Linked DNA regions of Elephas maximus indicus. The protein of the gene in region 2 purifies or fractionates together with the protein of the main gene of each other region. This does not show direct contact. Links are inferred from orthologs where the notes say so. Each region holds a gene or a part of one and is shown on either strand. Other genes may lie near its edges.

Region 1 (11,129 bases), on a different chromosome or scaffold from region 2:
ACCCATTGCCATGAAGTCCACTGGGACTCATAGCAACCCTACAGACAAAAGTAGAACAGCCCCATAGGGTTTCCAAGGAGCACCTGGTGAATTCAAACTGCGGACCTTTGGTTAGCAATCAAGCTCTTAACCACTGTGCCACCAGGACTCCAGAATTTATAATAGTTGAAAACAATAATAGTAGTTGGAATTTTTCCTCTTGCCATCAAGTCAAATTGATTCTGACTCATAGCAACTTTAAAGGACAGAGTAGAACTGCCTCACAGAGTTTCCATGGAGCCGCTGGTGGATTCGAACTGCCCACCTTTATGGTTAGGAGGCATAGCTCACCATAGCTCTTAACCACTGCACCACCAGAGCTCCAAAGTACTATTTAAAATAGTTGAATACTATAAATATCCTAATATTTTTGGGATATATTAAAAAAAAGCTAATATCCTAAATATTTTTAATGAAGGTACAAATGAATTAGAGACACGAATGTCAAAGAATTTTAAATAAAATTCCAGATACATGATCTTTCCCACAGTTAGAAAAGTTTTGGGTTTTTTTCCCCCCACAAGATACTTATAAATAACAAAGAGAAAAACAGTATCTTGACAACAGAGAAATCTTACAGACATCACCTTATCCAAGTGACTGAAGTTAATTTCACCAGGAAAGGACAAACAGATACCATCTGCTGCCTGAGAGATGCAGTGAGAAGAACACAGGAACCCTTCTGTGACAATCTTGCAAAAAATGCAAACCCTGAATCAAATCACCAGGAAACATCAGTCAAACCCAAACTGAAGAATATTCTACGTAATAACTGACCTGTACTCTTACAAAGTTAAGGTCATGAAAGAAAAGGCTGAAAAATGGTTCCAGACTAAAGACTAAGAAATCATGACAATTAAATGCAATATGTAATCCTGAACAAGAGAAACAATTATCTTTTTCTCTTTTAAAGTTTTGCTATAAAGGAAGTTAGTGGGACAAACGGTGAAATCTCGGTAAGGTCTACGTAGATGAAGTAAAGTGTATCAGTGTTGATCCCCTCATTTTTATCATTGCACTGTGGTTGTACAGCAGAAGGTCCCTGTCTTAGGCTGGGTTCTCATTTTTATCATTGCACTGTGGTTGTGCGGAAACCCTGGTGGCGTAGTGGTTAAGTGCTATGGCTGTTAACTGAGAGGTCGGCAGTTCGAATCTGCCAGGCACTCCTTGGAAACTCTATGGGGCAGTTCTACTCTGTCCTATAGGGTCGCTATGAGTCGGAATCGACTCGACAGCAGTGGGTGGGTTGAGTACTGTGGTGCAGCACAAGGTCCCTGTCTTAGGCTGGGTTCTCATTTTTATCGTTGTACTGTGGTTGTGTAGCAGAAGGTCCTAGTTTTTTGGAAATAAAAACTTACATTTTCAAGGGGAAAGCGGCATCATGGCTGTAGCATACTCGTGCATGTTTCAGAAATATATACATATACACAGAGAGAATAACAAGACAAATGCAGCAAAATGTTAACATCTGGAGAATCCAGATGAAGAATGTACAGAAATTCTTTGTCCTATTTTTGCAACTTTTCTCTAAGTCTGAAATTCTTTTGAAATTAAAAAAAAAAAAAGAATTGATTCTTTTGAGGCGACCGCCTTTTTCCTGGCTGCTCTGGGGACCGGTGGTTTCAACATTAGGATGTTACTAAGCCAAAAACAAACAAACAATCCATTGCCATCGAGTCGATTCCGACTCATAGTGACCCTATAGGACACAGAAGAACTGCCGACCTTCTGGTTAGCAGCCGTAGCACTTAACCACTATGCCACCAGGGTTTCTGGATGTTACTAAGAGAGTGGGTAAATAGCCACCCGGTAGGCTTGGAGGGCTCAGCCCCTTCTTCCCACCTTCGTTCATATATTATTTATACGGATTTGAGATGTAAAAATATATATAAGAAACAGCCATGAAAGCTATCGATAGTTGTAAAAGAATGTTATTTATCACTTTTTAATCCCAAAATTAATTTGATACGTTAATGAAAACATTAACTCGGGTAAACCAAAAAACCAAACCAGTTGCCGACAAGTCAATTCCCACTGACGATGATCAACATGGGCGGACGATGAGAAGCCAGCCCTCTTACCTTGTCACCACGAAGCATAGCATGCAGGGCCGCCTCCCTGCAGAGAGCCGTCAAGTCTGCGCCAACACAGCCAACTGTCATTTCTGCAAGGAGGCCCAAGTTGACGAGACTGGAGACCGGCATCTTCGAGGTTAGCACTTGCAGAATTGCCCTTCTTTGTCTAAGGGTGGGAGTGCCAATGACAACCTATTTGTAAAGCAAAAAAATAAGGAGAAATTAAAGCTTATATAGTTTGACAATGTACGTATTTTTATCCTCACAAATCTGTGCAATAATTAATGAACCCTTATGGAACTAGTACAGTGCACTCTGATGCACATCTCAGAACACACAGAAAGTTAGGGATCTACACCCTAATTTTCCAGGGGACTAATGAATTTTTTTTTTTTTTAATGAATACTGGCCAGGGAGCAGAACAACAAAAATTGTATAGTGCACTGAAGTTTTTATTTATTTTCGAGAACCTACCACTTCTTGGAAACCCTGGTGGTGTAGTAGTAGTCAAGAGCTACAGCTGCTAACCAAAAAGCTGGCCAGAGGCAGAGAGGGATAGAACAGTGAATCAGTCTAGATCCCTGCTCACAGGGAGCTGATTCAGCAGACAAGTACCAGATAGTGCAAGAAAGTCACTCAAGTCCTTGAGGGATTAAGCTAAAAGTATGCAATTATCCTTTGTTTAGAACCCTACCACAAAGCCCGAACATCATTTCAATTAACCACTAAGTTTCAAACTATTTAATAGAAATCAAGAATCAATTTAAGACCAACGCTCATTAAAAAAAAAAAGGGGGGGGGGCTGCTTTGATATTTACCCTCCCTGGCAACTCAGGAAGCAATTGTGGGTTTTTTTTTTTTTTTTTTTTTTTTCAGTTTCGGGACAGGATGCTGGCATTCTCACAAGGGAGAGCTAATGCCTGCTTTAACTTCACTGCTCTCCGCCTTTTATTTCCACACACTTATTTCTTGAGGCTATCCTTCTACTTTAAACTTCCATTCCAACTCCATACGAGTTCAACATGCCTGTGGCCGACCTAGTTCCCTGAAGAACTAACTCTACTTATTATAGGGCGTACTCGTCTTCAGGACATGTACGGGAAAGTAAACCCTAGGAGACAATTGGAGATTTGGGGAAAAACTGATCCCGGCTCCCAGGTACTATTAGGTCAGAGCACGCGTTCTCTGCACTCCGCCCTCACCAACTTCCAAACCTCAGTGGCAATGCCTAGGGGCAGCCAACCACGGTCCCAGGGGCTACAGGCCAACCGGCCACGCCCGCTCACCTCTCTGTCGAATCTCCCGGGTCTCCGCAGCGCCGGGTCTAGCGCGTCCGGCCGATTGGTGGCTCCCACGACCAGCACCTGGCGGTCCCCGCTGGCGCCGTCCAGCAGCGTCAACACCTGGGCCACCACGCGGCTCTCGGGGGCGCGGTGCGGGCCGCCCCGCCGGGGGCACAGGGCGTCCACCTCGTCCAGGAAGAGGAGGCTGGGCCCGCGCCTGGCCAGCTCCTGGGCGCGCTGGAAGACCCGCCGCACGTTCTCCTCGGTCTCCCCGGGCCGCGCGCCCTGCAGCGCCGGGGCGCTCACGGCCAGCAGCGCGGCGCCCGCCTGCCGGGCCACGGCGCGCACCAGCTGGGTCTTGCCCACTCCAGGGGGGCCCGCCAGCAGCACCCCGCGGGGCACGGCGAGTCCCAGCGCGGCCAGGGCGCGGGGGTAGCGGAGCGGCAGGCAGAGGAGCTCCCGCAGCGAATCGGCCGCCTCCGACAGGCCGCCCAGGGGCGCCTCGGGCTGCGGCTCGGCTTCCGACGGGGGCGTCCCGCTGAGGACGATGCGGGTGCGAGCGGTGACCAGCCCGGCCGCATCGGGACTCGGCGTCCCGCCGACTACGTGCAGGGCGGCCAGCGGGCCGGGGGCACCCGGCGGAGCGGCAACCACGTGGCCCCGAGACACCGGCCGGTTCCGCAGCAGCTCCTGCGCCGCCTCCAGCACGGCGGCGGGACTCGGGTCCCCGGGCGCGCCCGCTCGCTCCCGCAACACCGGCCACACGGCGAGGCGCCGCAGGGGCGGGCAGGGCACCAGGCGCAGGCGGCTCAGGCCGAGGCTCGCGCTGGAGCCCGGCGCCCCCGCCGCCGCCCCGGGGCTCGCGCACTGCGGGTCCAGCTGCACAAAGCCGTCGGCTCCGTCCCGCCGCGGCCAGGCGGTGCAGAGGCACGAGCCGCCGTCGGGCAGCGAGATCTTCACGGCCGAGCCCAAGCGCGCGCCCAAGGCGCGGAGCGCGGCCGGGCCCAGGCGGCAGCGCTGGGTGCCCCGGTCTCTGGAGTCTAGGGGTAGCAGCTGTAAGAGCGGCTCCGCAGGGAAGGGGCCCGAGTCCCGAGCCATGGCGCACGGAGCACCCGAGGTCGAGAGAAGCGGGGCCGGCGTTCCGCCCGGACCCGAACGGCCTGAGCACCGCGCGCCTCGGCCGGAAGCGGACTACGCGCATGCGTCAGGGCAGGCTAGGGCTTGCGAGGCGCTGAGGTCGCTGGAGAGCGAGCGGGGTCCAGCTCCCGCCGGGCCCCGGTCTGCTGTGGCGCTGTCCGCCTGGACGAGACCCAGCCGCCCAGCCCAGAGCCTCCCGGAGGTGGCCTTCGGTGCAGGTGCTGGCAGGCAGCGCGGCCGAACGGCACGGTCGTCCAGCAGGCGCCCAGGCGTCGCAGGGCGTCACCGGCGCCGCACTCCGGCTGGAGCTGCGCGCCGGCCTGGGGACGTGGCTGTGTCGAGAAGAACTCTGAGTGCCCTCGCGTGTGCGGTGTTACCGGCCGGGTGCTCGGGCCAGGTGGCTGGGACAGCGGAGACAACAGCGGTGGCGCCTTCAGTAGCCGGGGCCCCAACCTGTAGGGAAGGTCCGTGCACCGCCTTAATAGAGAAGAGCACCAGCCTTGCAGGAGAGAAGTACAGCGTGACGTTTAAAATACCTTGGAAAGGGGAAGGAAAAACAGGTCCTCTGTTGCCTTTGTGGTGTACTACGACATTTTTTTCTGACCCCCGATTCAGTCCTTTGAATGTGCTTTGACAACAACTTAAGGATACCTAATTTTTTAATGGCAGCGTCTCGGTTCGAGCGACAACTGCTGTCTCCTGGGGCCACAGCCGCACCAAGCCCTGCTTTAGAGGCGACACTTGCCTACAGTATCAAGACTGCCTCCTGCTATTTTTCCGCCTTTCATCTCCACAGGGAATTACTCTTTCCCCGTTATCAGCTGGACTACATTTCCTATTCTCTTTAACTTTGCTCATCAAAAAGAAATGCAGATACTCAAAGTCAAGAAAATAAGCTTTGTTTTTATCTTATTCACATTTTCCCCGTCTTTACTGCAACTCACATCTCCATGAAAACTATGAGGCGACAAAAATTGAAGTTGCAGATAGAGTAAGTCACTGTGACTTGTTTTTCTTCTATCTATGCAAGTAGTGGTTTGCAGACAGCATAGCAGTGTCCTCTCAATGGAAAGTACCGTTTGATCGAGGGCCTTAAGATCAATGGCAGTTCCTGGTCTCATTCTGTCGGAACTTCAGAGCAGATACTGACAGACTTCCGGATTCCATGGTGACTTACCTGGTCTCCACTGTACCTTTCCAGCTCCCAAGCTGGCACAACTTGAATCAGAAAGTAGCAGCAGCAGCAGGAGGTCCTGAATGGGTAGGTCACCCATTAGTTCTTATTCTTTCTCTTAATCACACTGGCTTCTGTTCTCTTGGGTTTTAAGACTTTTCAATAACAGTTTTGCATTTTCTGAAGAAATACATAAACATCATTTTTACTGACTCCTGAAGTTGTGAATGAAATGCCCATCAAATTATTTTGTCATGAACTCATCAGACATGAAAGGGACTGGACAGTGGGTAGGTGAGAGATGCTGATGAAGAGTGAGCTAATTATAGCAAGTGGTCACTTGAGATGTGTTGGCATCTCCTGTCTGGAGAGGGGATGGGAGGATAGAGAGAGTTGGAAGCGGGCAAAATTGTCACGAAAGGAGAGACTGGAAGGGCTGACTCATTAGGGGGAGAGCAAGTGGGAGTACGGAGTAAGATGTATATAAACTTATATGTGACAGTCTGACTTGATTTGTAAACGTTCACTTGAAGCTCAATAAAAGTTAATAAAAAAAATTATTTTGTCATGATACCTGTACTTCCACTTATGAAGATCACTTTTATTCCAGGTTCCAAGAAGCTTTGAAGATCTAGAAAAAAGAAGACTTAATAAGAACATGCTAATTGTCTTAAATATGTAAAGGTCTGTCATGGAAAAGAGCTGGTAGATTGCTGTGTAGCTACAGTGCAGAACTGACCTGGAGGTAAAAGTTTAATGGCGCAGATTTAAGAGGCTTCCTCCTCATTTTAGTATGGTCATGTGGAAGGTAGAGCCAAGAGGCAAAACCAAAGCCAACTGGTATGAAACATAGGGAAGCAGATTAAATTAAATCAAGCTTAGAGTTTTCTGCATTGGTTTCAAGCAAGTAAGGTGGAGGCTGAAATTTTATGGATAGGATATGGAAGAAACTACATGTTGCTTTGGGTTTGTCTGAGAGGTTGCCTTTATGCAAGGTGTATTAATTTCCTAGAGCTGTCATCAAAATTAGCTTCAAACTAGGTGGCTTAAATCAACATAGATTTATTCTCTCACAATTCTGGAGGCTAGAAGTCCAAAATCAAGGTGTCAGGGCCATGCTTTCTTCTAGGGAAGAATCTGTTCCACGCCTCTCTCCTAGTTCCTGGTGGCTGCCAGAAATCCTTGGCTTTCCGTGGCTGTAGCTGCACCACTCCAATATCTGTCTCTATCATCACTTCTTTCCTGTGTATCCTCTCATGGCCTGCTTATAGGACAGCAGTGTCTTAGTCATCTAGTGCTGCTGTAACATAAATACCACAATGGGCAGCCTTAACAAAGAAATTTATTCTCTCACAGTCTAGCAGGTTACAAGTCCAAATTCAGGGCGCTGGCCCCAGGAGAAGGCTTTTTCTCTTTGTCGGCTCTGGAGGAAGGTCCTTGTCATTGGTCCTCCCTTGGTCTGGGAGCATCTCAGCACAGGAATGTCAGGCCCAAAGGACATGCTCTGCTCCCAGCACCGCTTTCTTGGTGGTATAAGGTCCCCCTGTCTCTCTGGTCATTTCTCTTTTTTGTGTCTCAAGAGATTGCTTTAAGACACCATCTAATCTTGTAGATCTCATTAGTATAACTGCCACTAATCCATTTTATTACAGCATAGTGATAGGATTTACAACATAGGGAAATCACATCAGATGGTAAAATGGTAGACAATCATACAGTCATACAAGGGAATCATGACCTAGCCAAGTTGGCAGATATTTTGGGGGGATACAATTCAATCCATGACAACCAGTCATTAGACTTAAGGGCCACACTAATCCAGTGCAACCTCATATAAACTAGGTACATCTGCAAAGACCCTGCTTCCAAATAAGGCCACGTTCTGAGGTTCCAGGTGAATCTAAATACATCTTTTTTGATGACATGATTCAACCTACCACACAAAGTCAACCTAGAATTCTCTGACCTCGTAAAACCCATGAGTCCAGGAAATAGTCACTTCATACTCTCCCTGAAAGGTCCAGTCTTCCCCTTACGATACAAACAAAAGCAACCAGGAATCCTGTTCCTGGGCCTTTATCCTTCTCTACTTACTCGTGGCAGAACTATTACTATGACTGGCCTTTCCAGTCAGCCAGTAGAATCCACTTTGTCCCTTTAAATCAGACTATTTGCAACACTACTATTTCAACCATTTTAACCTCCTCATTTAACATACCATTCAATGACGTAGTCTGCTCCCTTTTGTGCTTTATGTGTTTTGTTTCTAGTATGACCCAAAATTGGGTAATTCTATGAACTGAAGAGTACCAATCAAAGCACCAAAAGGTTGAACACTAGAGGGAGTCCAGGACCGAAAAACCTGAAGACTACTGCACTGTTAGGGGTTTGAAGTGTTCCACACGAGGCTTCCACTAGATTTTCCCAGCATTAATAACCGGATGTATGAAGCAGTCATGTTGTCTCTATGTAGTACCTTAATTATTTTAACATAATTTCTACATACATAGGCCATATAGAACTCAGTTTCCTAGTTAAAATTTTGTTGCCACATTAAATATCAAAATAAGGCTCCCCAAGTCCAAAATTTAGTAGTGGTTCAAAATGCAAATGAACTGAGTTTATTTTGTGATAGCCTAGAAACCATTCCAGCTTTGAGCTGCTTCCGATAGCCCTACTTTTGTGAGATTCTCCTGAAGTGATATATTTAACAAATAGTTTTTTCTTAATTTAGGTTGCTACATTCAGGATTACAATCTGCCTTGTATCAACTATAAAAATTCTTAGCAATATGGAATTCAAAAGAATTGGAACCTCTACTTGTTTTAGAATAACTATTATACAATATTTTGGTGTCTTCAGCATCAATAATATATACTAAATATTATATTTCAAGATATGAGATACACCATAATGATGAAAACCGTAAAGAAAAGGTTCAGTTAAGCCAGTAGCATGAGCCATCCGTAGATCAATGGCCATCCTTCCTGTGTTTCCAGGCTCATGTTATTTTCAACCCTAATATATTTGAATATTAGCAATGATGATGATTTCTAACAGGTAAGTATAGAGACTCATTTAACCACACTTGAAAAAGCATGGTTTACAAATACTCAACATGTTCATGAAGATGTATCAAGTGACTCCATTTCACAGATACTTAATATGCCAGATTTTCTTAAAATGTGTAATGAAAACTCCCCAAAATAGGACATTGTTAAAATTGTTTTTTAAACATTTCCATCTTTAGGCTTTCTCATGTACCCAGGCTAGAATTATTCTCTAGAAGATACGGAGTCAGGGAGGGTGATTAGGGCCATCAGATATCTTTGCTGGACTACAAATGACCTGTAGGCTGTAGTTCACATAACACCATTCTGAAACTCGGTTCTTGCAGATTTTCATGAATAATTGTTTGTTTCATCGTTTTTTGGAAGTTAAGCCTCCAAGGGACTTATCCTCTATGATGTGAGTTCAAACTGTTCAGCTAATAAAATAAGATAGGCATTTATTTAACAAGTATTTATTACACATATGTTGTTGTTAGGTGATGTCATGGATTGAATTATGTCCCCCTAAGATGTTAAGATGTGCGTAGTGATTTGGCTGGGCCATGATTCCCAATATTGTGTGGTTGTCCTCCATTTTGTGATGTAATTTTATGTTAGAGAGGATTAGGGTGGGATTGTAACACCCTTACTAAGGTCACATCCCTGATCAATGTAAAGGGAGTTTCCCTGGGGTGTGGCTTGCACCACCTTTTATCTTACAAGGGATGAAAGGGAAGCAAGCAGAAAGTGGGGACCTCATACCACCAAGAAAGCAGTGCCGGGAGCAGAGCCTTTGGACCTGAGGTTCCTATTCTGAGATGCTCCCAGACCAAGGGAAGATCTATGCATTACAAGGACCTCCAGAGCTGACAGAGAAAGAAAGCCTTCCCCTGGAGTGGCGCCCTGAGTTCAAACTTCTACTAGACCATGAGAAAATAAGTTTCTCTTTGTTAAAGCCGTCCACTTATGGTATTTCTGTTGTAGCAGCACTAGATGACTAAGACAGGTGCCATCAAGTTAGCTCTGACTCATAGCCACGCTGTGTACAACAGAACAAAACACTGCCTGGCCCTACACTATTCTCAGAGTCATCTTATGCTTGAGCCCATTGTTGCAGCCACTGTGTCAGTCTCTTCGAGGATCTTCCTCTTTCTCAGTGACCCTCTACTTTACCAAGCCTGGTGTCCTTCTCCAGGGACTGGTCCCTCCTGATAACATGTCCAAAGTATGTGAGACCAAGTCTTACCATCCTTGTTTCTAAGGACCATTCTGCTTATATTTTTTCTAAGACAGATTTGTTCATTCTTTTGGCAGTCCATGATATATTAAGTATTCTTCCCCAACATCATAATTCAAAGGCATCAATTCTTTTTCGGTCTTCCTTATTCACTGTCCAATTTCCTATGCGTATGAGGCAATTGAAAACACCATGGCTTGAGTCAGGTGCACCTTTTTCTTCATGGTGATCTTTCCTTTTTAACACTTTAAAGAAGTCTTTTGCAGTAATTTGCCCAATGCATTGTGTCATTTCATTTCTTGACTGCTGCTTCCACGGGCATTGATTGTGGATCCACGTAAAATGAAATCCTTGACAACTTCAGTCTTATCACCGTTTATCATGATGTTGCTCATTGGTCCAGTTGTGAGAATTTTTGTTTTCTTTACGTTGAGGTGTAATCCATACTGAAGGCTGTGGTCTTTGATCTTCATCAGCAAGTGCTTCAAGTCCTCTTCACTTTCAGCAAGCAAGGTTGTGTTATCTGCGTAGTGCAGGTTGTTAATGAGTCTTCCTCCAAGCCTGATGTCCTATTTTTCTTCATATAGTCCAGCTTTTCAGATTATTTGTTAGGCATATAGATTAAATAGATATGGTGAAAGGATATAACCCTGACACACGCCTTTCCTGACTTGAAACCATGCAGTATCCCCTTGTTATGTTCAAACAACTGTGTCTTTATCTATGTACAGATGCCACAATTAAGTGTTCTGGAATTCCCATTCTTTGCAATGCTATCTGTGATTTGTTATGATCCACACAGTCGAAGGCCTTTGCGTAGTCAATAAAACACAGGTAAACACCTTTCTGGTATTCTCTGCTTTCAGCCAGGATCCATCTCACATCAGCAGTGATATCTCTGGTTCCATGTCCTCTTCTGAATCTGGCTTAAATTTCTGGCAGTTCCCTGTCCATGTACTGCTGCAGCCACTTTTAAAAGATCTTCAGCAAAATTTTACTTGCGTGTTATATTAATGGTATTGTTCCATAGTTTCTGAATTTGGTTGGATCACCGATCTTTGGAATCTCTTCCAGTTGGTTGGCCAGGTAGCTGTCTTCCAAATTTCTTGCATAGACGAGTGAGCACTTCTAGTG
Region 2 (10,892 bases):
GCACGACCACTTGTGGATCGGGCCTTTGTGATCCACAGGGTTTCCGGTTGCTGATTTTTCAGAAGCAGATCACCAGGTCTTTCTTCCTAGTCTGTGTGGAAGCTCTCCCGAAACGCTGTTCAGCATTATAGCAACACGCAAGCCTCCACCAACAAATGTGTGGTGGCTGTACCTGAGGTGCACTGGCCAGGAATCGAACCCAGGTCTCCTGCGTGGAAGGTGAGAATCCTACCACTGAACCACCAATGCCCCCTGAATTCTTCCATAGGCTTAGAGATACTGGAAGCATTCATGTATCGCGTACCTGCTGTATACCGGACAGTGTGCTTGGTGCTTAATCTCACGCTACCCTCTCAGGAACTCAGAAGGGGCATTATCCCATTTCACAGATGAGGAAATAAGCTCATGGAGGGAAAACAACGTGTCCAAAGTTACACAGCGCATAAGAGACAGCACTGGGATTTGAACTTCCTCGTCTTAACACTAAAGCACCCAGGCTTTCCACTCCTGCACTGCCTCTAATTGATTGCTAACAAGTCTCCAGGGTGTTAAAACCTCAGTGGCAGTGGGCCCACAAGCAGCCCAGCGGAAGCCAGCCTGGAACGGTGCCAGCCTAGGCCCTCTCTGCAGGCCTCACTGGGTGTGCTTCCTGATTCTTAAGCGTTCCCCCCCAAAGCCACAGAGGAAGTCAGGCATAAATCTGGGCTCCTCTTGCCTAAGTGTGTACGAGCTGCTGTTACGTCTCATGTCTGCTCTGAGCGTCACAGATGGGTGCCACCACCCCACGTCCCTCAGCGAGCCCTCTGTCAAGCAGGCGAGACCTGGATGCAGCCCTGGTCCGCCCTGCCTTACCCTGCGGAAGCCCTTCCTGAGCCCCAGTCTGCAGCAGAGCTCGTTCCCGTCCTGCCTTTGCCCTGTCTCCCTGCTCTGAGAATGCGTCTCTGCTGAGGCCAACAAGGTCTGCCAGACCAAGCAAGGCCTGCCAGTCAAGCACTTACCTGGCTGGCGGAATAGATGGGCCATGGTGCTGGCAGCCTCTTTATTCTAACCATATTGATAATCCTCCGTGCACCAGGCACTCACCCCAGGAGCATTTTTCCACTATGTTTCAGAAACTTTCTCATGCCTCTAGCAACCTCTGCAGAGAAGTCCAAGCCCAGAGTGGCACGCAGAAGTACTTCAGAGAGTAGAATGCTGTGCGAGGCATGCAGGACACTGAATTAAATCTGAGATGAGCCAGTCAGAGACAAGGGGCTCTGAGGACTTGGGCTTCAGACAGCCTGGGTTTCAATCCTGGCTCTGCCGCTTGTTATTTGGGCTCTGTAAGCCTGGGCAAGTTACTTAACCTCTTTAAGCTTCAGTTTTCTCATCTGTAAAATGGGGATGATGATGATAAGCATACCCACCACACAGGATGTTTTGTGATTAAACTAGGTCACCGTGTAAGCCTGTCTTGGTTAAGCGCTCCACAGACGTTGCCTATTATTATCGTTGTTACTATTACTATAGGAAAAGTTGATGATGATAATCACTGACCTTGGAAGTGCAAGTCCAAGGCAGAGTTCGGTCAGCTGAATATAAGCAAGTCCTAAACCACTCAGAGGCTTGGTTCCCTCATGAGGAAAATACCTGCCTTGCTCCTCCACGTCCTGCCTGTCAGCTTGTCCCACTCTGGTGGCTGGGAGATATGCCACTGGCATTTCAAGCATCAACAGGGTCACCCATGGTGGACAGGTTTCAGTGCACCTTCCAGACTAAGAAAGACTAGGAAAAAAGGCCTGGTGATCCACTTCTGAAAATTAGCCAATGAAACCCCTATGGATCAGCTCTGGAAGATGAAGGTCCCCAAGTTGGGAAACACTCCAAATACACAATGGACTCAAGCACACCAACGATCACAAAGATGGCACAGGACCAGGTCATGTTTCGTTCTGTTGTACATGGGGTTGCCATGAGTTGGAGCCGACTAGATGGCAATGAACAAGGGGCCCTCGCTCCTACCTGTCTGGGTGCCAGGAGGCTCTGGTGTGCCACCCTTGGCCAGCCCAGTTCTTCTCCTCACTGTGACCCCTGAGCCAGTCCCTGGCCTCACCAGGACGTCAGCCACTTTCTGCTTCATCCCCCTTCCCTCCCTGCAGCCACTCTTCACCAGTGGTGTGAAACCCCTTGCCCCTGAGACACCAGTCTCTCTCCCAGCAAGAGCACGCCCTCCTCCACCCAAGGCTAACCGGCTCCCCTGCCCTCCCAGGACCCCATACTCTCGCATCCTCGGACCCTGTTTCACGACTACCTGCTCTCTGCCTTCACCTCCAATCCCTTCCTTCCTGGGGGCTCCACACAGAGCACGTTCAAGGCGCTCTCATCAAGCCCCAGGTTTCACTCTACCTGCCATTTTCTCTGTCTCTCTTCCTACAGGCATGCTTCCAAAAGCAATTGATCACATTCTCCATTTCCATCTCCTAACTCTGGACTAGGCTGACTCCTCAGTCCACTGCAATCTGCTTCTACCCCCGCCTTTCCGCTGACATAGCTCTGCTGAGGTCACCAGCAATTCATCAATGTCCAGATCTAGTGGAAACTTTTTGTTTTCCTTGCCTGGGCCTGGCATGTTTGAGAAGGTGGGACAGAGCTAAGTAGCTGTAAAGTCATGGGCTCTAGACACGCACAGGCTAGAAACAGTCTCAGCTCCACCATGTATACCTGTTTGAGTAGGTATTTAACCTTTCAAAGCCTCAACGTCTTCAACTGCCGAATGCCCTGCCCTACCCAGCAGCCCTGAAATGGTTCTAAATCTCTACTTCCCCATCCGGAAATCTCGCAGGAAACTCCACCTGTTGGGTCACCTGTCTGTCTCCCCTCACTAGGCTCCAGTCTTCAGAAGAAAACACTACGTGCACTGTGCCTGGTATGTAGGATGTGTTCAGTAAGCGCTTACTGACGAGGGAAAGAACAGTGAAGGGGAGCATGGATTCACTTTGTAAGCTGTAAAGTGCTGTCCAAATGCAAGGTGCAAACATTCTCTTGCCTGTGGATCACTTTCACAACAAAACTTCATTTGGGGTTCACAGCAATTCATCGCACAGATAGTCATTGTCTGCTTTGTTTGCTGATGTATCCTGAGCATTTAGGGCAGTGCCTGGCATAAAGTAAAAAACGAAACCAAACCCATTGCCATCGAGCCGATTCGGACTCATAGCAACCCTACAGGACAAAGTAGAACTGCTCCATAAAGTTTCCAAGGAGCACCTGGTGGATTCGAACTGCTAAGCTTTTGGTTAGCAGCCGTAGCACTTAACCACTATACCACCAGGGTTTTCTGACACACAGTAGGCACTCAATAAATATTGTTGAATGAATGAATAAATGAATACTATAAATGGACGCAACCGTTCTAGGGAGCCCTGGTGACGCAGTGGTTAAGTGTTCGGCTGCTAACCAAAAGGTTGGCAGTTGGAATCCACCAGGTGGTCCTTGGAAACCCTATGGGGCAGTTCTATTCTGTCCTGTAGAGTTTCTATGAGTCAGAATTGACTCAGTGGCAACAGATTTTAACTGTGCCAGACAATGGGGCTAGAATGCTCCTGCTTGTTCCAAACCCAAACCAAACCCACTGCCATCCAGTCTTACGACTCATAGCGACCCAACAGAACAGAGTAGAACAGCCCTATTGGGTTTCCAAGGCTGTATATCTTTAGGGGTGCAGACTGCCATATGTCTCCCGCGGAGTGGCTGGTGGGTTCAAATCACCAATTGTTTGGTTTGCAGCCGAGTGCTTAACCACTGTGCCACCAGGGCTCCTTTCCTGCTCATTACAGGAATCTAAAGCTTGAGTTTCTTGGGAAGCCTCATTCAGGTGTGGTGAGGGAGCTCTGACAGTCCCATAGAAGAGGACAGGAGCCTGCAAAATGGACCACTAAATGAGGAAGCAGAACTTGTCCCAAAGCCGGGCAGGCGAGGAGGACAGAGCCCCTGAGGGCGGAATGAGGGTGCCTGCAGGTTCCCTAGGTGAGGATTCTGGGGCAGTGGAGTGAAGACGATGGCAAACTCGCTCCCTGCGGCATCCCGCGTGTCCTTTATTAATCACCAGCGTAAATATTATGGGGAAGTTTCCCGGGCTCCCACTTGGAAAATAAACAAGAAGCCGACACATCTACCCACCGAGGCTGCAGGAGACAGCACAGAGTCACAAACCAAACCAGGCTCTGGCCTTTCCCTCTCCCTGACGCGGACAGAGCCGACTTGGAGGCTGACTTCTCCTAGTCAGATACTGCCTCCCACCCTCCTATTTTTGCAGACCCTGCTCCCAACTCCCCCAATAAAACTTTCCACCAGGCCCCCTCGTGCCACCCCAGTTTTTGCCAAGTCCAAGGGCGGCTCTCCCAGCGGGCCAGTTTTGGGGGTTTGAGGGCTGTGACCCGCCTCCCCCGGCCTGGGATTGCTGCTGGGTGTCAGGCGCGGCAGAGGGGACCGCAGGGTCCCGGAGGCCCAGCTCCCGCCGGGGAGCCTCCCGCGCGCCCCCCGCGCAGGGTAACGGGGCCGCGCAGCGCCGAGCCCACCCCCGGCGCGCTCCGCCCACGATGTGGCGCCGCCCGGGGCCTGGCGGGGCGCCCTCCGGCCCGACCCCCGGCGCCGCGCAGCCGGCCGACCCCCAGCACCCGGCCGGCCCCCAGGACCCCGCACCCGGCCGGCCCCCGGCCCCGCACCCTACCGTGGGCCTCTTCCACTCGATGCCCCGGGTTTTGCTGGAGTAGGGTCCCAGCTCCTTGAAGCCCAGCGAAGACGGGAGGGCCGGGAAGGAGGGGTCCTGGAAGAGCGCGCCGGCTTCCAGACACTCGTCCCGCAGCGCCGCGTAGTCCTGGTTCAGGTACTTGACGGCCCTCTCGTGCGAGCCCAGCCCCTCGGCCGCCTCCCGGTCCCTGGCCAGCCGCGCCGCGATGCCCGCCATGCTGCCGACCGAGGCTGGCTGGGAGGGGCGCGGCGGCGGGCGCACTGCGGCGGGGCTGCGGCGAGGGCGCAGGCCGCCAGGGGGCGCGGCGCGGGCGCAGGCCGCCAGGGGGCGCGGCGCGGGCTGGGTGTGGCCTGCTGGGCGGCGGCCCGGGAGCTTGCGGGCCCAGCGGCCTGGAGAGCGGCGTCCGGGGGGCGGGCTGGGGCCTGTGCTGCCACCTGCCGACGGCTGCCGGGATAGCGCGGCCGCAGGGGTGGAAAAGGCGGGGCTGCAGCCCGACTCCGAGGCCAAGTTCCCAGTGACTGGGTGAAACCCGAGGCTGGGGCAGTCGAGACTCTCCAGGAAACACCCCGTGAGTCAGCAGAAGATCAGGAAGTGGGGTCAAGAATACCAGGCTAAAAAAAAAAAAAAACCCTTCGCCGTTGAGTCGATTCCGATTCATGGCGACCAGACTGGCTGCCGTTAATTGGGCCCCTGCTTTGTACCAGATACCGTGCTAAGGGCTCTACAGGCGTTATCTCATTTAATCCTCCGGCAACTCTGTGAAGAAGGGGCTATTATCCCCACTTCACAGATGAGAAGACTGAGGAGGAGGCTGTCAAATGACATTACCTAATGTCCCACAACCAGCAACAGGCAGAACAGGGATTCCCAGACACCAGAAAACAAGACCACAAACTAATGCTGTTGCCATGGAGTTGATTCTGATTCATGGCGATCCCATGTGTTACCGAGTAGAGCTGCTCCATAGAGATTTCTTGGCTCTGACCTTTATCGAGGCAAATCACTAGGCTTTTCTTTGGTGGTGCTACTGGGTGGGTTTGAACCCCCAACTTTTAAGGTTAGCATCCAATCACAAACTGCTTGGGCCACCCAGGAACCTCCAAGACACTAAGGGCTGTGCTTATTACAATCACCACTGTTATTAGAGCCCTGATGGCACAGTGGTTAAAGCGACCGCTAACCAAAAGTTCAGCGGTTCAAAACCACCAGCAGCTCCCTGGGAGAAAGATGTGGCAGCCTGCTTCCATAGAGGTTTACGCCTTGGAAACCCTATGGAGTCACTCTGAGTTGGAATCGACTTGATAGCAGCAGGCACACTGTTATTGGTCAGGTACTTGATCACAGATAGGGTTGCCAGATTTGGCAAATATTCAGGATGCCCAGTTAAATTTGAACCATCTTATAACTGTTGGTGGGATTGTAAAATGGTACAACCACTATGAAAAATGGTATGGCATTTCCTCAAAAAGCTAGAAATAGAAATACCTTATAATCTAGCAATCCCACTTCTAGGTACATATCCTAGAGATACAAGAGCAGTGACGTGAATAGACACATGCATGCTGTCTTAGCTAGTTAGTGCTGCTATAACAGAAATACCACAAGTGAATGGCTTTAGCCAACAGAAATTTATTCTCTCACCGTCTAGGAGGCTAGAAGTCTGAATTCAGGGGTCCAGCTCCAGGGGAAGGCTTTCTCTCTGTCAGCTCTGGGGGAAGGTCCTTGTCATCAATCTTCCCCTGGGTCTAGGAGTTTCTCAGCACAGGACCCTGGGTTCAAAGGATGTGCTCCGCTCCTGTCTCTTCTTTCTTGGTGGTGTGAGGTTCCTCTCCTTTCTGCTCACTTCTCTTTTTTCTATCTCAAAAGAGATTGACTCAAGATACAACTTAATCCTGTAGATTATGTCCTGCCTTATTAACATAAGCCCTGAAAAAACCCGTTGTCATCAAGTGGATTACAACTTCTAGTAACCCTAGAACTGCCCCATAGGATTTCCAAGGGTTGACTGGTAGATTCTAACTGCCGGTCTTTTGGTTAGTGGCCAAGCTCTTAGCCACTGCCTCTAATTCTGCCTCATTAACGTTATAGCAGTTAGAATTTACAACACGTACAATAATTACATCAGATCACAAAATGGAGGAGAACCACACAATACTGGAAATCATGGCCTAACCAAATTGACACACATTTTGGGGGGATAAATTCAATCCATAACAACACCTATGTTCATTGGAGCATTATTCACAATAGCAAAAAGATGGCAACAACCTAAGTGCCCATTAACGGATGAATGGATAAACAAATTATGGTACATGCATACAATGGAATACTACACAACTATGAAGAATAATGAGGAGTCTGTGAGATATAACATGGATGAACCTGGAGACCATAATGCTGAGTGAAATAAGCCAATCACAAAAGGGCAAATATTGTATGGTCTTAACTTTTATAAAAAGACAAGGATATGTATGCACACAGAAAGCAGCGTTCTTTGATGGTTACCAGGGATGGGAACGGGAGGGAGAGGGAATCACTTTCTAGATAGTAGACACTTGTTTTTTTTGGTGATGGGAAAGGTAATACCCAATTTGGGTGACGTCTTCGTTGACCAAAGAGTCTTAGTTGACACTAAGAGGTACACAAGAATAAGGGTCAGTTTGGCTAAATGCTATAACATACACAATTTTGCAGTAGTGAAAACAACCAAAAAATGTGTGTTTTACCTAGGTAGATATGTAGGCGTATACAGTATGTTTATAGGAAGTGATATGTGAATACAGGCACAGTTGTGTCTGTAGCCATGTGTACATACATGTTTGTGTGCACTGCACATGTATTCGTATATATAATAAAGCACATAGGGAGCACAGTTACAGATACTTACTAACCAAAAAGCAAAAACCGTTGCTGTCTAGTCAATTCCAATACTCCCTGGACATATTCAGACACCTCACGAGATTGGTTGACTGGGTTAAAAGGCTTAGGACCATAGTATCCTGGGACAACTTGGTCAATTGACATAACATAGTTCATAAATTTTATGTTGTACATTCTAGTTTGGCGAATCACATCTGGAGTCTTAAAAGCTTGCCAGTGGCCATCTAAGATACAACTGTTGGTCTCTACTCGTCTGGAGCAAAAGATAATGAAGGAAACCAAAGATTCAAGATACTAGTCCACAGGTCTAATAGCCCACATGAACCAAGGCCTTGTCTATGACGAGACCGGAAGAACTAAATGGTGCCCAGCTACCACTGCCAACTGTTCCGACCAGGGACACAGTAGAAGGTCCCAAATAGAATGGGAGAAGATTGTAGAACAAAACTCAAATTCCAAAAAAAAAAAAAGTCCAGATTACTGGATCGATAGAGACTAGAGGAACCCTGAGACTATTGCCCTAAGATACACTTTGAACTCAGAACTGAAGCCCCTCCCAGAGGTCATCTTTCAGCTTAATAATAGATTGGCACCCGTGAGTACCGTGCTTTTTTGAATAATTACCTATACGAGACCAAATGGTCAACATTTACCCTAAAACAAAGCTGAGAAAGTAAGGAAGGGGCAGGGAAGCTAGATTCATGGAAACAGAACAAACAGAATGGAAATAATGAGAATGCTGGCACATTATGAAAAATGTCACCAGTGTCATGGAACAATTGGTACAAAAATTGTCAAATGGGAACCTAATTTGCTGTGTAAACTTTCAACTAAAGCACAGTAAAATATTATTAAAAAAAAAAATTAACCAAGATGTATTTGAAGAAAATGGAGGCATTTTGCTTGGATAAGAGGAGAACGATGGGGAACTCAACACTAACGGGAGCCCTGGTGGCGCAGTGGTGAAGAGCTCAGCGGCTAACCAAAAGGTTGACAGTTTGAATCTACCAGCTATTCCTTGGAAACTCTATGGAGCAGTTCTATTCTATCCTACAGGGTCGCTATGAGTCAGAATCAACTCAAAGGCAATGGATTTGCTTTTTTTTTGGTCAACACTAGCTAGGAGCCTTCATGGCTCAGTGGTTAAGAGCTCAGCTACTAACCAAAAGGCCAGTGGTTCAAACCCACCAGTCGCTCTGTGGGAGAAAGATGTGACAGTCTGCTTCCGCAAAGATTGCAGCCTTGGAAACCCTATGGGGCATTTTCTACTCTGTCCTATAAAAAAAAAAAAGGTCACTATGAATTGGAATCGACTGAATGGCAAAGGTTTTCGACACTAGCTTCACTAATCCTTACTGTCATGGAGAAGAAGGAGTGTGTTCATTGTGTGTTGCTGCAGAGGAAGAGCTGGGACTAGGCAGATTTTAATTTGTGATACAGAGTCCAACACCACTTTGAATACACTGCATGTGGCACAAATGGTTAAGTGCTCAGCTACTAACTGAAAGGTTGGAGGTTTGAGTCTACCCAGAGGCAACTCAGACGAAAGGCCTGGCAATCTATTTCCAAAAGGTCACCCGATGGAGTGCAATGAAATACCTGGGGTTGTCATGAGGCAACAGCTTTTTAAGATTTTTTATTCAAGCAGTGGCTGGTCTGCTCAGGGGTACCCCAGCATGGGCGATCATCAGAATCACTCGGGGGTGGGGGGCTTGTTAAAAATACAAAACCCGGATCTGACAGCACAGATGCTGAGTCAGGAAGTCAGGAAGTCTGTGGTCTTCATGGCTGTGGACCAGTCAAGCTGGGGACTGCTGCAGAGGGGCCGGCAGAGCTGTAGCCGGGAGACCCGCTGAGGTCCTTTCTTTGCCAAAGATTCCATGGTCTGAGGGTTTGCTGGCCGGTGGCAAGGTGGTATACGTGCTTTTCCAGCATTACCAGGGCGCCAGGCTTCCTTTAGCTTTAAAGTCAGCCTTGGCCTTGGGGGCCACCACTTACTTTACACGGGGTTACTATGTTTTGAAGGAGCTATTTCTCTGCCCCTCAAAATCTGTGGGGGACTTCCTCTTGCTCCCCACTTTTTACATTTCCTGGATAGGAGGAACCTCAGATTGTGTGACTTTGGCTTTGACACCACAGTTTAAAAAGTTCTTGAGGAACGGAGCCTCGTGAACGACGTTCTTCGCTAAGTGAAGTCTCCAGGAATCCCATTCCTATGCAAGCAGCCTGGATTTGGAGGTTTCCCCTCTTGATTTATCAGTATTTACACTCACACGCACCCTGCCCATCTGTTGTGGTCCTCCACCCCAGTTTGCACGTCTGGGTATGCACCTGGCAGACAGGTCCCGCTACAGCCCTGACTCGGCTGTCGCACTCTTGGATGAGATGAGTGATGGAGCTTTCATTTCTAGTTTGTGGGCATCTGGCGCAAGGGTGTTTATGAAACTATAACAGCGGGGAACAGAGGAAAGACACAGCCCTTTCCTTGAAGCTGTTATTCGTTTCACTGTTTGGTTTCCACTGGGCCCACCCTCATTTCTTCCGGGCTCTGGGGTCTGGAGAGAAAGCATGTCCAGTACCCAGTGTGGCAGAGCATCCGGCATTCACTTTTCCTCCTGCCCATCTCCTCACGGACAGCTTGTCCCTGGAGGAAGTACATCCCCCGGGCTAGGGGTGTGGTTCTCCTCCTGAGTCCTCTGAGCTGCAAAGGAGCAGGGCAGACCAGACCTATCCCCCTAGTCCGATCAGAGGCATGGTGCAGCCCTGGGGCAGAGAAGCCTCCTGGCTCACCCTGAGCTTCCTCTTTGCCCTGGCAATGCCCTCTGGGTACATGGGCAGCCCCCGGCTGTGACTTCACCAGCTTTCTGGGTGCCCTGTGCCCACAGAACTCCACTCACAAAGGGCCTCCAGCCAGCCTGAGGTACTAACATTGATTTGCAAATGCACAGTTATTATTGCCCCCATCACTTGGCCAAGGTCCAGGTTTTAATCCTGAATAAACACTGCTGTTTACTCTTCAAAGCCTCTCACGGGACGTTTTCTCATGAGGCCCTGCCAAGTCTCCCATTTCTGTGACCACGCACTCCCTCTTACAGGGACACAGGCGCACACAGACACACACACCGCCGGCATCACTGCGGAAATCCTTCCAGGAGTGAGTCACCGGCCAGCCCAGGGCAGTGAGTGAGTCAGAAGCCACTGCGATTATGCAAAGCTGCCTGGGTCCCAGCCAAGGCCTTTGTTCTAGAGCATGTGTTCCCCTTGCTAAGGCCCACGCACGCCT

Evidence for each region.
Region 1: the proteins of CAPN2 (region 2) and SPATA5L1 purify together in Homo sapiens (co-immunoprecipitation; 3 studies listed by BioGRID and IntAct, with this or other methods). This does not show direct contact. The link is inferred for Elephas maximus indicus from reciprocal best matches to the Homo sapiens genes CAPN2 and AFG2B.

The regions. Positions count from the first base shown.
Region 1 is NC_064828.1:10,924,647-10,935,775, forward strand, and holds the start of SPATA5L1 (ribosome biogenesis protein SPATA5L1), read right to left. Parts: upstream 4,574-11,129; 5' UTR 4,496-4,573; coding exon 3,401-4,495; intron 2,307-3,400; coding exon 2,121-2,306; intron 1-2,120. UniProt on the Homo sapiens protein: ATP-dependent chaperone part of the 55LCC heterohexameric ATPase complex which is chromatin-associated and promotes replisome proteostasis to maintain replication fork progression and genome stability.
Region 2 is NC_064842.1:13,424,938-13,435,829, reverse strand, and holds the start of CAPN2 (calpain-2 catalytic subunit), read right to left. Parts: upstream 4,995-10,892; 5' UTR 4,946-4,994; coding exon 4,709-4,945; intron 1-4,708. UniProt on the Homo sapiens protein: Calcium-regulated non-lysosomal thiol-protease which catalyzes limited proteolysis of substrates involved in cytoskeletal remodeling and signal transduction. Proteolytically cleaves MYOC at 'Arg-226'.